Linked DNA regions of Macaca fascicularis. The protein of the gene in region 2 purifies or fractionates together with the protein of the main gene of each other region. This does not show direct contact. Links are inferred from orthologs where the notes say so. Each region holds a gene or a part of one and is shown on either strand. Other genes may lie near its edges.

The links. Proteins that work in one complex are often made in the same cells at the same time.
Region 1: the proteins of MKI67 (region 2) and G3BP1 purify together in Homo sapiens (affinity purification with mass spectrometry; 3 studies listed by BioGRID and IntAct, with this or other methods). This does not show direct contact. The link is inferred for Macaca fascicularis from reciprocal best matches to the Homo sapiens genes MKI67 and G3BP1.
Region 3: the proteins of MKI67 (region 2) and gamma-interferon-inducible protein 16 purify together in Homo sapiens (affinity purification with mass spectrometry; 3 studies listed by BioGRID and IntAct, with this or other methods). This does not show direct contact. The link is inferred for Macaca fascicularis from reciprocal best matches to the Homo sapiens genes MKI67 and IFI16.

The regions. Positions count from the first base shown.
Region 1 is NC_088380.1:158,622,724-158,626,696, reverse strand, and holds the start of G3BP1 (ras GTPase-activating protein-binding protein 1), read right to left. Parts: upstream 2,806-3,973; 5' UTR 2,727-2,805; intron 2,459-2,726; exon of another isoform or gene 2,295-2,458; intron 1-2,294. UniProt on the Homo sapiens protein: Protein involved in various processes, such as stress granule formation and innate immunity. Plays an essential role in stress granule formation.
Region 2 is NC_088383.1:137,074,427-137,077,938, forward strand, and holds part of MKI67 (proliferation marker protein Ki-67), read right to left. Parts: intron 3,007-3,512; coding exon 2,694-3,006; intron 2,604-2,693; coding exon 2,485-2,603; intron 2,376-2,484; coding exon 2,204-2,375; intron 1-2,203. UniProt on the Homo sapiens protein: Protein that associates with the surface of mitotic chromosomes and acts both as a chromosome repellent during early mitosis and chromosome attractant during late mitosis.
Region 3 is NC_088375.1:102,071,813-102,076,027, forward strand, and holds the start of gamma-interferon-inducible protein 16, read right to left. Parts: upstream 2,806-4,215; 5' UTR 2,554-2,805; intron 1-2,553.

The DNA of each region.
Region 1 (3,973 bases), on a different chromosome or scaffold from region 2:
ACAAATTACTGGGGGGGCGGACGAGGCTTCCTTTCTTTTTCTTTTTTTTTTTTTTTGTGACCTACCTACTTCCACAATTATTCATTCTTCTTCCTAAAGTCAGTAATAGTTTTGTCCAAGGAAGCCAAAGCACAATATAATTAAACAAACAACATACAATGCATATTTGAATTCTGAAACAAAAAAAATCAATTTGCAAACTGTTAAAAGACCAAGTGGGTACTTTTATCAGACTGACAAAAATAAAAAATTGTAAAATTGGCTTTAGTCACAAATGTAAGCTTTATGTTAAATTTTGTCTTTTAACACTAACCCCATCAGTCCTAAGGACGATATAAAATTCACAAACTTTTACAAAAACTTAAAACTGCCTTCTGCCGTTCACTTTCTATGCAAAATACTAGAACGAGTGGGGAAAAAAAAGAAAAACCATAAGTTACAAAAGAAAAACTGCTCTAAGTAGGTCACAAACCAACATAACCAAAATCTCCTAATGTTCCCTGGTGGACTGTCAGCTGAGAACAGCAAACTGAGTTAAACAAAGAACTGTCTACTTTTCTACCTGTAAGAGGTACAAAAGCTAGACTTTTCTACCGGTAAGCAGCTCCAATGGTAGGGATGTAGGGCGGCCGTGCCAAGCCTTACATTACCACAATTTGCTTCAACTCACTAGTTCCTGATAAAGGAATGCACAAGTGATCAGCTGGAGCACCGGTCTGTGAAATAATCACGTAATTTGCATATTCCTGCCCAAGTGATAACCATTTGCCTGAGGCCAAGAACTGTATTTTTTTTTTTAATATTTTAAGTAGAAACTAACAAAATTTTCCCTCAATAATGCGTAAGGTAATTTCATTCTATTTTGCCTCAAGCTGTAATAAAATTAGCTGGACTCAAGCTTTAACAGTTTAAATGCAGATCATTCTAGTGTTTTTCCATTTGACAACTTAAATTGCTCGTCTTTAAGTCTAAGTTAAAATGCTAATTCAATAGTTAACCAGTCCGTAAGGGCAGGTAACCGGAATTGCTACACCAGGAAAGTTCCAAGTAAATGTTACTTGGAACATTGTTACATTATAACGCATAACAGCTTCTCTAGAAAGAGTTTCTAGAACATGTTTATAGAAACGTTTATGTTTATAGAAGCGTTTCTATAACATAGGAAGATTTATTTCACTAAGCCAAGGAGTATGCTGGCTTTTAAATAACCTAAAATATGGTAACTCTACTAGAAAAATATAATCTCAAGTGTCTGAAGAAAAGCATCCTGTTTCTGCATATACACAGGAACCCAGCAGAGTAAATGCTAAATAAACGGAGTGTGTACACAAACTTTCATCCACTGATCTCGACTGTCACAGTTGTTTTTTCCAAGACATCTCCAACACCAGTAATTCGGCCAGGGTGACACGCGCCACAGAGATCAAATGTATATCGTAACTGGGCGCCATCCTTTCCATTCCAATTCCGTATTTTAACCCACAGATGCTAGTGAGATCTGAAACTCGTTGCTTTGCACCTCACTTCCTTCAACTATAAAGTTAATCTTCTCAAGGTCTTTCTCCAAAAGCCTCCTCCAATTAAAAAAAAAAATAGAGAGAAAAAAAAATTCAACGTCTAAAACCGGAGCCTAACTTCCCGCTGGCGGGAATTTCCCATCACCAATCTGAGTTTCAAACCCGATGAGGAACACAGTCGATGTTCTTTTGCACTTACTCATCATTTTCCCTACTTTTTTCCAGAAGTTACTGTGGCGGCACATCTACCCACGGCCTGTACGAATACACGTAGAAAAGCAGCCCAAACCCTTTTCCTTTGTCACATTCCCACTACCAACCCTTGTCTCCCTGGAAGCCCAGAACTAGCCCAAGTACAAATGCCGCTGCAGCCTGCTCGGCAGGTGGCCTTTTGAGGCTGATGCTGTCCCGAGGGACAAGTGCTCTGGGGGCAAAGAATAAAACAGGCTTGGGAAGCGGGGGACTCGGAGTCAGAGGGACCGGCGTCAGCAAATCCCCGCCCTTCCCGTGCGTGCCTGTGACCCCGCTCTCCAGACCCTTGCCTTGGGCCGCTACGGAAGGAGGACAGCCGTACCCACCTCGCCGGTTCACTGCGACAATCAAATCAAAGGCAGAAAAGCGGCTCCGCACAGTGCCGGGCACATAGCGAGAGCGTGGAAAGAACACTGGTTGTTACTATCACTCCGTGCACTCGCTGCTCCCTTTCCTCCCTGCAAAACTGAAGGCACTTCTGCGGCGCGCGGACCACAAGACTCTAGACTTTAGTGCTGCACCCACCCTTAAACGAAAGCTTCCTTCTGGTCCGAACCGACTGGATCTCTTGGCCAGGGGACGAAAAGACTCCGCAGGCGCGTGGCGGAGTGGGTGGCGGGCGGGAAACGCTGGGCGCAGAGCCCCTAGTCCTCGAGGCCGCCCTGGGGCCCGGGCGGCGGCCGCGACTCACTCCCGCCCCGCGTGGCCGTTGAACGCAGCACGCGCACGCGGCGGACACGGCCACGCGCCCCAGTCGGGAGGGGAGGGGGAGCGGGGAGCCGCCGCGCTCCCGTCCGTCCGCCGCGCGCGCCTGCGGCCGTTGGGGCTGGGGTGGGGGTGGGGGACGCGCCTGGCGCGGCCGCCGCGAGCGCCACTCAGACTTCTCCCTCTCACAATTGCCGCGGCTCAGCTTAGTCCTCTGGCTGCCCTGCCCCGCCCACACCCCTGCATACCTACCTGATTGAGCTGGAGAGGAACTAGCTCTGCTCCACAGCACCAAGGATAACAGAAACCCCTCACGCAACTGCGTCCGCACACACGCGTGCTCCGCCGCCGGTCTATATAGCTGCCACTCACCCTAACTTGTTGCGGCCAGGTCGGGCGACGGGATGACCAATCCCGACCGCGTCCTCCGGGCTCTTCGAACAGCAATTGGGCACTTACTGGGGATGAAGGCGTGGCTCTTGATTGGCTTTGACTCATGCCTATGAGACTGTGAGGATCTCGTTTCCCTAGTAACAGATCGGCACTAAGAGAGACCAATAACCGAAAAGTACAATAGAAAGGCGGGTGAGCAGTTCTTTGACTGATACCCAGAGTAGCCAATAAATATGCGGAGCTGCTCTTATTCGTTAACACGTCTTCCCCTGGGCGGAGATCCGTTTTCCATGCAGGAGCGGTTGCGCCACAAGGTGGGGCCCGTGTACTTTGGGGAAGTAAACCCCTAGCAACTAGGAGGCGGGCGCCCGAGAGGCCAAGACAGCCTGTGGCCAATCGCAATGCCGGAAGGAGTTGATAGACACGGAGGTTACGCTGCTCGGAAGAGACCGAGCCCCAGGGCGACCGTGCCCTCTGGGCGGTTGTGAGGTTATGCAGGCTGCGGCTTCTGCTCTCTTTCCTTTCTTTCTCTGACTTGCTGGGTCCCGGCTCTGAGGCGTGCACACCGCCTTTTCTGCACAGTTTGGTACCTGTGGGGAACTAAGTGGCAAAGTTTCCCGGGTGGTTTTGTTTTTATTACAACTTTTTTTTTTTTACATACGACGGCCAAGGGCCTTGCTGCCCTCACCATTACTCAGCACTGCTGTGGGGCACGGGAAGGAAAGTCGCTCCTGCGCCGCCTACGGGCTCCCGCCGGAAGGTAGCCAGTGGAAGTGCCTGGGAGCGCGCCCTTCCGCCAGGCGCTTCCGGGCGGGTGCTGCGAGGCGGCCGCGGGCGTGTGGCGAGGCTCCCTTTGTGGCGGCTGAGGCACGGTGGTCCGCGCGTGCTCCAGTGTAGTTTGGGCCCTCGCACCACGTCTCGAGCCGCGGCACTATTGTTCAGCCTCCAATTGCCGCGGATGGGGGCTTATTCTCGTCGCTACGCCTTTAAAGGGCAACTCATCCCCTCCTCCTGGCGTCTCAGGCACTGGCGGGGCTATAACTCATGGCTGGGCGGCCGTGCGTGGGTCGCCGTGGGCATTTTCTGTGGAAATAGCTTTGGTTCCC
Region 2 (3,512 bases):
TAGGAGGCCTCAGCCTCCCAAAGTGCTGGGATTATAGACGTGAGCCACCGTGCCGGCCATCCCCACTTTAAATTACACAAGTCAGGCTACAATTTACTGAGAGTGGGAATCGAGTGGAAACATTTCTTCAACAATCAATTGTTTACGGGAATCTTCTCATAGGGCTTTAAGAAAGTTAAGCCACCTAGGAAGTAAATCCTGAAGAAGCAAAATATTGCTCAATAACAACTGGTCCACACCTGGGATAAACTACTAGTGTAGCTGCAGGTAACATTTTAACACCAAAAAAAAGTAGTACTGATATAATCTCAGGAAAAAAATAATAACAAAGCAATTTATATAGAAGTTCAACTCTGCAAAACTCTTATCATCTCATGTCCTCCTTACTTGTATCATTCTGGCCTCACCGGATGCAAGTGCTATTTCAACCTGGCAGTCATACGCAAAATGTTCAGGGGAAGCCTGTTCTGAAAACTCCCTTCCAAACCAGTCCATTCACAAAAATCTCCCCTTCTACATAAAATGCCTAGGATTTAGTCTTCAGCAGATGCTAATGTTTTGTAATGATATTCACTCATACTAACAGGTGAGAACTGCTTGACTCTAGGAAACCATCTTAAAAGAAAGAACGGGCCAGGCGTGATGGCTCACGCCTATAATCCCAGCACTTTGGGAGGCTGAGGTGAGCAGATTAACGAGGTCAGGAGATACAGACCAGCCTGGCCAACATGGTGAAACCCTATCTCTACTAAAAATACAAAAATCAGCTGGGTGTGGTGGCACACACCTGTAGTCCCAGCTACTTGGGAGGCTGAGGCAGGAGAATTGCTTGAACCTGGGAGTTGGAGGCTGCAGTGAGCTGAGATTGTGCCACTGCACTCCAGTCTGGTGACTGAGAGAGACACTGTCTCAAAAAAAAAAAAAAAGAAAAACAAGGAACGCTGGGATGCTGGGGACAATCCACTGTCCCACACACTGAGTATTTAGCATTTTGTTTTTCCTAGAAAGTATTTTTGAGGGTTTGTTTTTAACATTTTGTAACACACATATTAGAACATTCATACATGTTCATAATTTACAAGAATACTCATATATACATATCTATATTTTTTGTTTTGGTCTTGTATTTTTGTCTTCTTGGTTTTTTAAAAAAGATTAATGAACTGATCCGAATATGACTCATCAGAGGGTATGTTGCATCCATTACGGAGGAGTACAACTCTTACAACTCAATCTGCTAGAAAACAACAATAAGATTCCCCCTGTTCAATTCAACTCTCACCACCCTTCCAAATAGTACACGGTAAAAACTACTGGACAAATTATACAACACAAAACCTACAATCGCTCTCCTGCCACCATCCCCACTTTATTTTATTTTTTAATTTTTTGAGACAGAGTTTCGCTCCTGTTGCCCAGGCTGGAGTACAATGTCGCAATCTCGGCTCACCACAACCTCTGTCTCCCGGGTTCAAGTGATTCTCCTGCCTCAGCCTCCCGAGTAGCTGGGACTACAGACATGCACTACCACACCCAGCTAATTTTGTATTTTTAGTAGAGACGGGGTTTCACCATGTTGGCCAGGATGGTCTCAAACTCCGGACCTCAGGTGATCCGCCCACCTCGGCCTCCCAAAGTGCTGGAATTACACGCGTGAGCCACCGTGCTGGCCATTCCCACTTTAAATTACACAAGTCAAGCCACAATTTACCCAGAGTGGGAATCGAGTGGAAACATTTCTTCAACAATCAATTGTTTATGGGAATCTTCTCATAGGGCTTTCTTTCAAGAAAGTTAAGCTACCTAGAAAGTAAATCCTGAAGAAGCAGAATATCGCTCAAAAACAACTGGTCCACACCTGGGATAAACTATTAGTGTAGCTGCAGGTATAACAAGTTAACTCTCTTCACTGCAAAGCACCTTCCAGCTTTCTATGTATACGCTGCTCTCCAGGGTAAAGATATGCATTTGACATTTCCACACCTATTTCACGCAGGACACGTGATCCCAAAAATTAGTAGAGACTTGTCCTTACAAGCCAAACCAGCTTTGTCTTCCCTGAACACTAAGACCCCAGAAAGGTGACTCAGTCGTTTTTTATAATCCCTTTCACAGCAGATGAACATAGTTAGCAAAACAAACATTAACACAGTAAAAAACAGTAGAGTCAAAAGATTTATAATATCTAAGGCTATGTTTTTACCTGAAAGATCTTCCTTAAAGTCCATTTTTTGGTTGGAAATGAAGTTGTTGAGCATTCTATAGGGTCGAGCAGGCACATGTACTTTTTCAGTATGAGCCTTCCCTATTATTATGGTACAAGGAGAGTTTGCATGGCCTGTACTAAATTGACTGTGAACTTCGCCCACAGGCTTCTGTGGAAAATAGGAAGGACGTAAACAGGACATTAAAGCGTGAATCCACACTGAATGCAAGCTTCCATGACACCCGGATGTGTAAAGCAGCATACAGTGAGGCCCCTACCTTCGGAGTAGCAGGTCTTCTTTGCCTTTTGTTCATTGACCTTTGAGGACCATGTTTTATGAGTTTAGTTTGTGTTTGTTTTGCACCAAGTTTTACTACATCTGCCCATGATTTTGCAACTGTCAAAGGAAAAAGATGACGAAACTTTTCAAAAACTAGCATTCATGAAACAATTCACCTTAATATATGTGTTCTAACGCAAGACTAACCAATTAGATTGGCTTCCGAAGCACCACTTCTTCTTTTGGAACATATCATCTGTAAAATATCATGTTGACTTCGGCTGATAGATGCTCTCTTTGAAGGCAGGTTGCCGCTCTTTCTCCCTCCTCTCTTAGGAACCTCTGTCTGAGATTTGCTGCTGGAAGCAGGGGCTGCTTTGCAGGACCTACGGCGTTGATCATTGGCAACTGGAGTTTTCCTAGGACTAGGAGCTGGAGGGCTTCTAACCAAGCTTTGTGCCTTCACTTCCACACTGATTTCTGAAGTTGACTCTTGTTTTCCTGATGGTTGAGGCTGTTCCTGACAAGACAAAATTGTTGACAAGAAGCTTTAACAAGGATGTAACATCTCTGGAATGACTGATAAAAACCTATTCAATTAAGAATTTCAGCTGTTTAAATCTTGAAGCATCAAATGCTTAAGCCACTGTCTTTCAAGACTATGGTAGAGGTGTGACTGTCTCAGTCATTGAAGGAAAAACAGGAAACAGAAGCAAGCAAAGTCTGAAGTGAGGTCATTTCAGGTAGAAAGGTGGAATGAACGTCCTGATCAGTGAAAGACAAGCAGGATCTGATCTCAGTCCCAGTAAATACCGGCCGTGGGCACCCAGGGCCCGGCAGCCCACATGGAAGGAGGGCCGCTTGCCCCTGGGAGCCAGTGTAAAATGGAAAGGGAGCCAGGCATCACTTTCCACTCCTGTTGGGAAGAGAAGAAAAGAAAGACAGCCCAGGCCCCATTATGAAGGTTATGAGCTATAGGGCCATGAGTTCCCAGGGGTGTAAAACCCAGGAAGGACAACACAGCAA
Region 3 (4,215 bases), on a different chromosome or scaffold from region 2:
GCCTTTCTGAAGCCTCCAGATTCTTAATTTCAAAATCTATCTAGCTCCACTGCACAGAATAGGTGCTTTCATCTTGTCTTAAGGGAAAATATAATTTTACATTTGGAGTTTTAATTTAGGCACAATGATATTTAAATAGAAGAGTCTCAAAAATTATTTTGTGATTCTCAGGGCCGCAGTCTTTTTGCAAGACAAAGACTCATGCCACAAGAAAACATCTATTGAAAATAATATTTAATAAGAAAACAATGAATAAAATTAAAAATGCTGCCAGCCAAAAGATAAGAAGAGTGAAAAATAAAGTTTTTTTAGGTGCTCCTAATGCCTTAAAAAGAAAGCCCCGATCAAAGAGAAGAGAAACAGAAATTACAACAGCATGGTAAAGGGAGGGAAGAAAAAGAAGCATGACAATACACTAAAGCAATTGTCTTAGATAGTGAGATGATATAAATTTGTCATAAATTGAAGAACAGATTGCAGATTGTTAATTACCAGCATATACCTAAAAGGTCTGACCTGTTAATTGACAACTTTCATCAAATTTGATTTAAGAAAGCTACATACGGGCCGGGCGCGGTGGCTCAAGCCTGTAATCCCAGCACTTTGGGAGGCCGAGACGGGCGGATCACAAGGTCAGGAGATCGAGACCATCCTGGCTAACACGGTGAAACCCCGTCTCTACTAAAAAATACAAAAACCTAGCCGGGCGAGGTGGCGGGCGTCTGTAGTCCCAGCTACTCGGGAGGCTGAGGCAGGAGAATGGCGTGAACCCGGGAGGCGGAGCTTGCAGTGAGCTGAGATCCGGCCACTGCACTCCAGTCTGGGCGACAAAGCGAGACTCCGTCTCAACAAAAAAAAAAAAAAAAAAAAAAAAAAAGAAATCTACATACATGTTCTTAACAAAAAATGAAAAAAATTGTTAAAAATTATCTTGCAAAGAATAACTAAAGAAAGCCAGTTTATCTATGTTTGTGTAACTTTAAATATACCTTAAGCCCAAAAGTAACTTCAGATACCACATAATGACAAAAGGTTCAATTCCTAGGAAATTATAACAGTTTTAGTTATGAATTTATCTTATTTATCTAATGATATTATTTATTATTTTATAGTGCTTCGTGGTACTATAATTAGTATATATTTCTCTTCGTATACACACATGCACAGACATCACTACACACACATATATTTATATGTATGTACTTCTTTGTCTACATGATTCTATATACATATATTTGTGTGTGAATGTATATTATATGTACACATACATATGTGATTGTGAGAGCACTACAAGGAAAAAAAAAATTTTTCTTTTTTTTGAGACAGTTTTTTTTTTCTTGCTCACTTGCCCAGGCTGGAGTGTAGTGGCACAATCTCGGCTCACTGTAACCTCTGCCTCCCGGTTCAAGCGATTCTACTGCCTCAGTATCCTGAGTAGCTGGGATTACAGGCACGCACGACCATACCCAGCTAATTTTTGTATTTTTAATAGAGATGGGGTTTCGCCAGGCTGGCCAGGCTGGTCTGGAACCTCTGACACCTCAAGTGATCAGCTCGCCTTGGTCTCCCAAAGTACTGGGATTGCAGGCGTGAACCTCTGTGCCCGGCCGAAAAAGCAAACTTTATAATAGGAGATTTCAGTTTATGTTTCAATTACTAAACGAATAAGATAAAAAAAATCCGTAATGATATAATAAATTTGAACAACGCAATTAATAAACTTAACATTTATCTAATAAAATTCTGAAATCAACATTTAAAAATCTCACATTCCATTTAAGCACACATGAAATATTGTACCAGGCTACAGAAAACATCTTTTAAAAATTTGAAAAGTAAGCAATAGTAACCTTTTCCTAATTGACTTCCCCTCCACTCCCCTATACCCTGCCACAAGGAAAAAAAAATCATTAACTTTCAGGAGGGCAGAGAGTAATTCCAAAATGACTGAAATTCTGCCCCTAGCACCCGCTGTAGAATGGAGCTAAAGTAAAAGATCAACATATTTATGAAAATATTAAGACACCATGTACCATGAATAACTGTGTTTGTGAAACTTAAAAAGATTTTCTATTCTATGTGTACATTTGTTCTCATGTTTTATAAAATTGAGATGATGTCATATAATACACCTCTATGTTCAGATGTGTTTTTTACTTAATATTCTTTCATGATACTTTTTTCACATCACTATCTTGAGAACCCACCACAGCTACCGAGTTTCCAATGCTTCTTCCAGCCAAAATAACCAAAGCCCTCTTCTAAGTACCAACTTACGCCAATACACACTCAGAGAATTAGTTTTAAAATCTGCAGTGGTCAAAATGCATTTTCTCTTGTTCAGTCCTCAGTTGTGGTGGAATAAAAGAATCCTGTTATCTTCCTAAGTAAATGAAGGATTCCTATCAAGCAACTCGGCAACTTTTCTGAATACCCAGCCCTACTCCCATCACCCCATGACCCTGAATAACGAATACTGATTGTCCCCTTGTGATTTTGGGGACTTCAAGGAAGGAACAAGATCATATTTACAAAATCAGCAACAGTACTCACCTCACTGGAAATTTTTTCAACACTAGTCCAGATGTTGAGATCTTCAGCAATGCAGAAAACAATGATTATTTTGTGTGAGGGGGGAGATAAATCAGTAAAGTTCCCAGAAACGGAACTGCAGGATGTTGTAATCTTCAGAAATGCCAAGAAAATGAAGTATGTGCAAAGATAACAAGGAAAAAAGGCCTTGGTTGAGTCAGTTAGCTGACTAGTCCTGGCTTGCTCCTATTCTGTTATTGCCCCAGAGAGAATGGAGTAGGAGCAATGTGGAGACTCCTCCCACCAGTGTTTTTAGCTTTCGTTTCTGTTAGTCAGAGAAAATGAACAGTTTCCTGCTGGCAAGGGCTAGAGGGTGTGGTGAGGGGAAGTGGGGGGATGAGAAATTACTTTAATGGGTCCAGTGAACATTTTTCGGGTGATGTGTACACTAAAATCTCTGACTTCCCCAATATGCCATATGTCCATGTAACGAAATTACACTTGTACCTCATAAATGTATATAAATACAAATAAATAAGTTTTTTTCCCCACAAAATTAAATAACTGAAAGGAATTCCAACATTAGAACTTTCTTACCCAGCAGGCTTACATGTGGGTCATTAGAGACCTATATTGTCTAAAATGATGCTCAAATATAAGAGAAGCAAGGTGGCTTCTTCTCCCTCCTTTCCTGTGCACAGAGTGGCAGTGGCAGGAGGAGATCTTGGTAGGAGCATCTATTGCTACTAATATTTTACTGCATCTCCTGGGTGGGGAAGCGTCTGCTATGAAATCGCTGTTTGTTTAAATACTACCTGAATTATTCATCCAATTGTTAATAACTGACAAACCTGGGGGATTTCCAGATCAGAAAGTCATTATGAATATGTAAACCCTTCCTCAAATTTATATGAAGGAGTTTAACACTAGCTGTCCTCTTGACTATAACTAGGTTACTTTACTTCAATGATTAGATTCATGATTGCTCATGTTTTCTGCAGTATTCATGGATAAATACAAGTGGATAGTGGGCTCACAATATGACAGCATCGAAGCCTTGAAAATCCCGGAAAATGCACTGAACTTCTGGCAGCATGAGGAGCCTGTTTAATCCTTTGCTCAGCAGTGCATTTTTCTCTGTTAAGGACAATGGATGCCCTTTAGAGTGCCGTAACCCCAGGATGTTAACTAAATGGCGTCAACTAGCAGATGATGTGGTGCTAACCCAGCAGCAGATCTGCAAGCAGGATGTGGTCATGAGTTGGAAAAGGGGCCCCATTGACAGTTAATATGTACTATTCAAGGCCATCTACAGAGCAAAAGAAAGCTGATTGTTTTAATCCAAACTAGGGCCATGAAGGGGATAGCTGAATTCTGGATTTCAAACCACACGAATAACTTTATCAAAGAAGGAATAAGTCAAGAAAAAGCAAAGAGGATCTGGAATGACAGCCATAAACACCTCTGGGTGTTCATGGTGATCTTTTACTGGCTTTAGGTTGCTCTTTATGTGGATACATTGAGTTGGCCTTAAGGCAGTAGGTAGAGAAGGATATTAGGGCGGTCATTGAGAACCCCAATCCAGAGGTCAAAGGGTAAGGACCCTTGGAAGTTATGACCATTCAAAACATTTTCTGCCTTTTACTTGTAATCATTTTATATGCAGTAATGTCCTCAATTGGG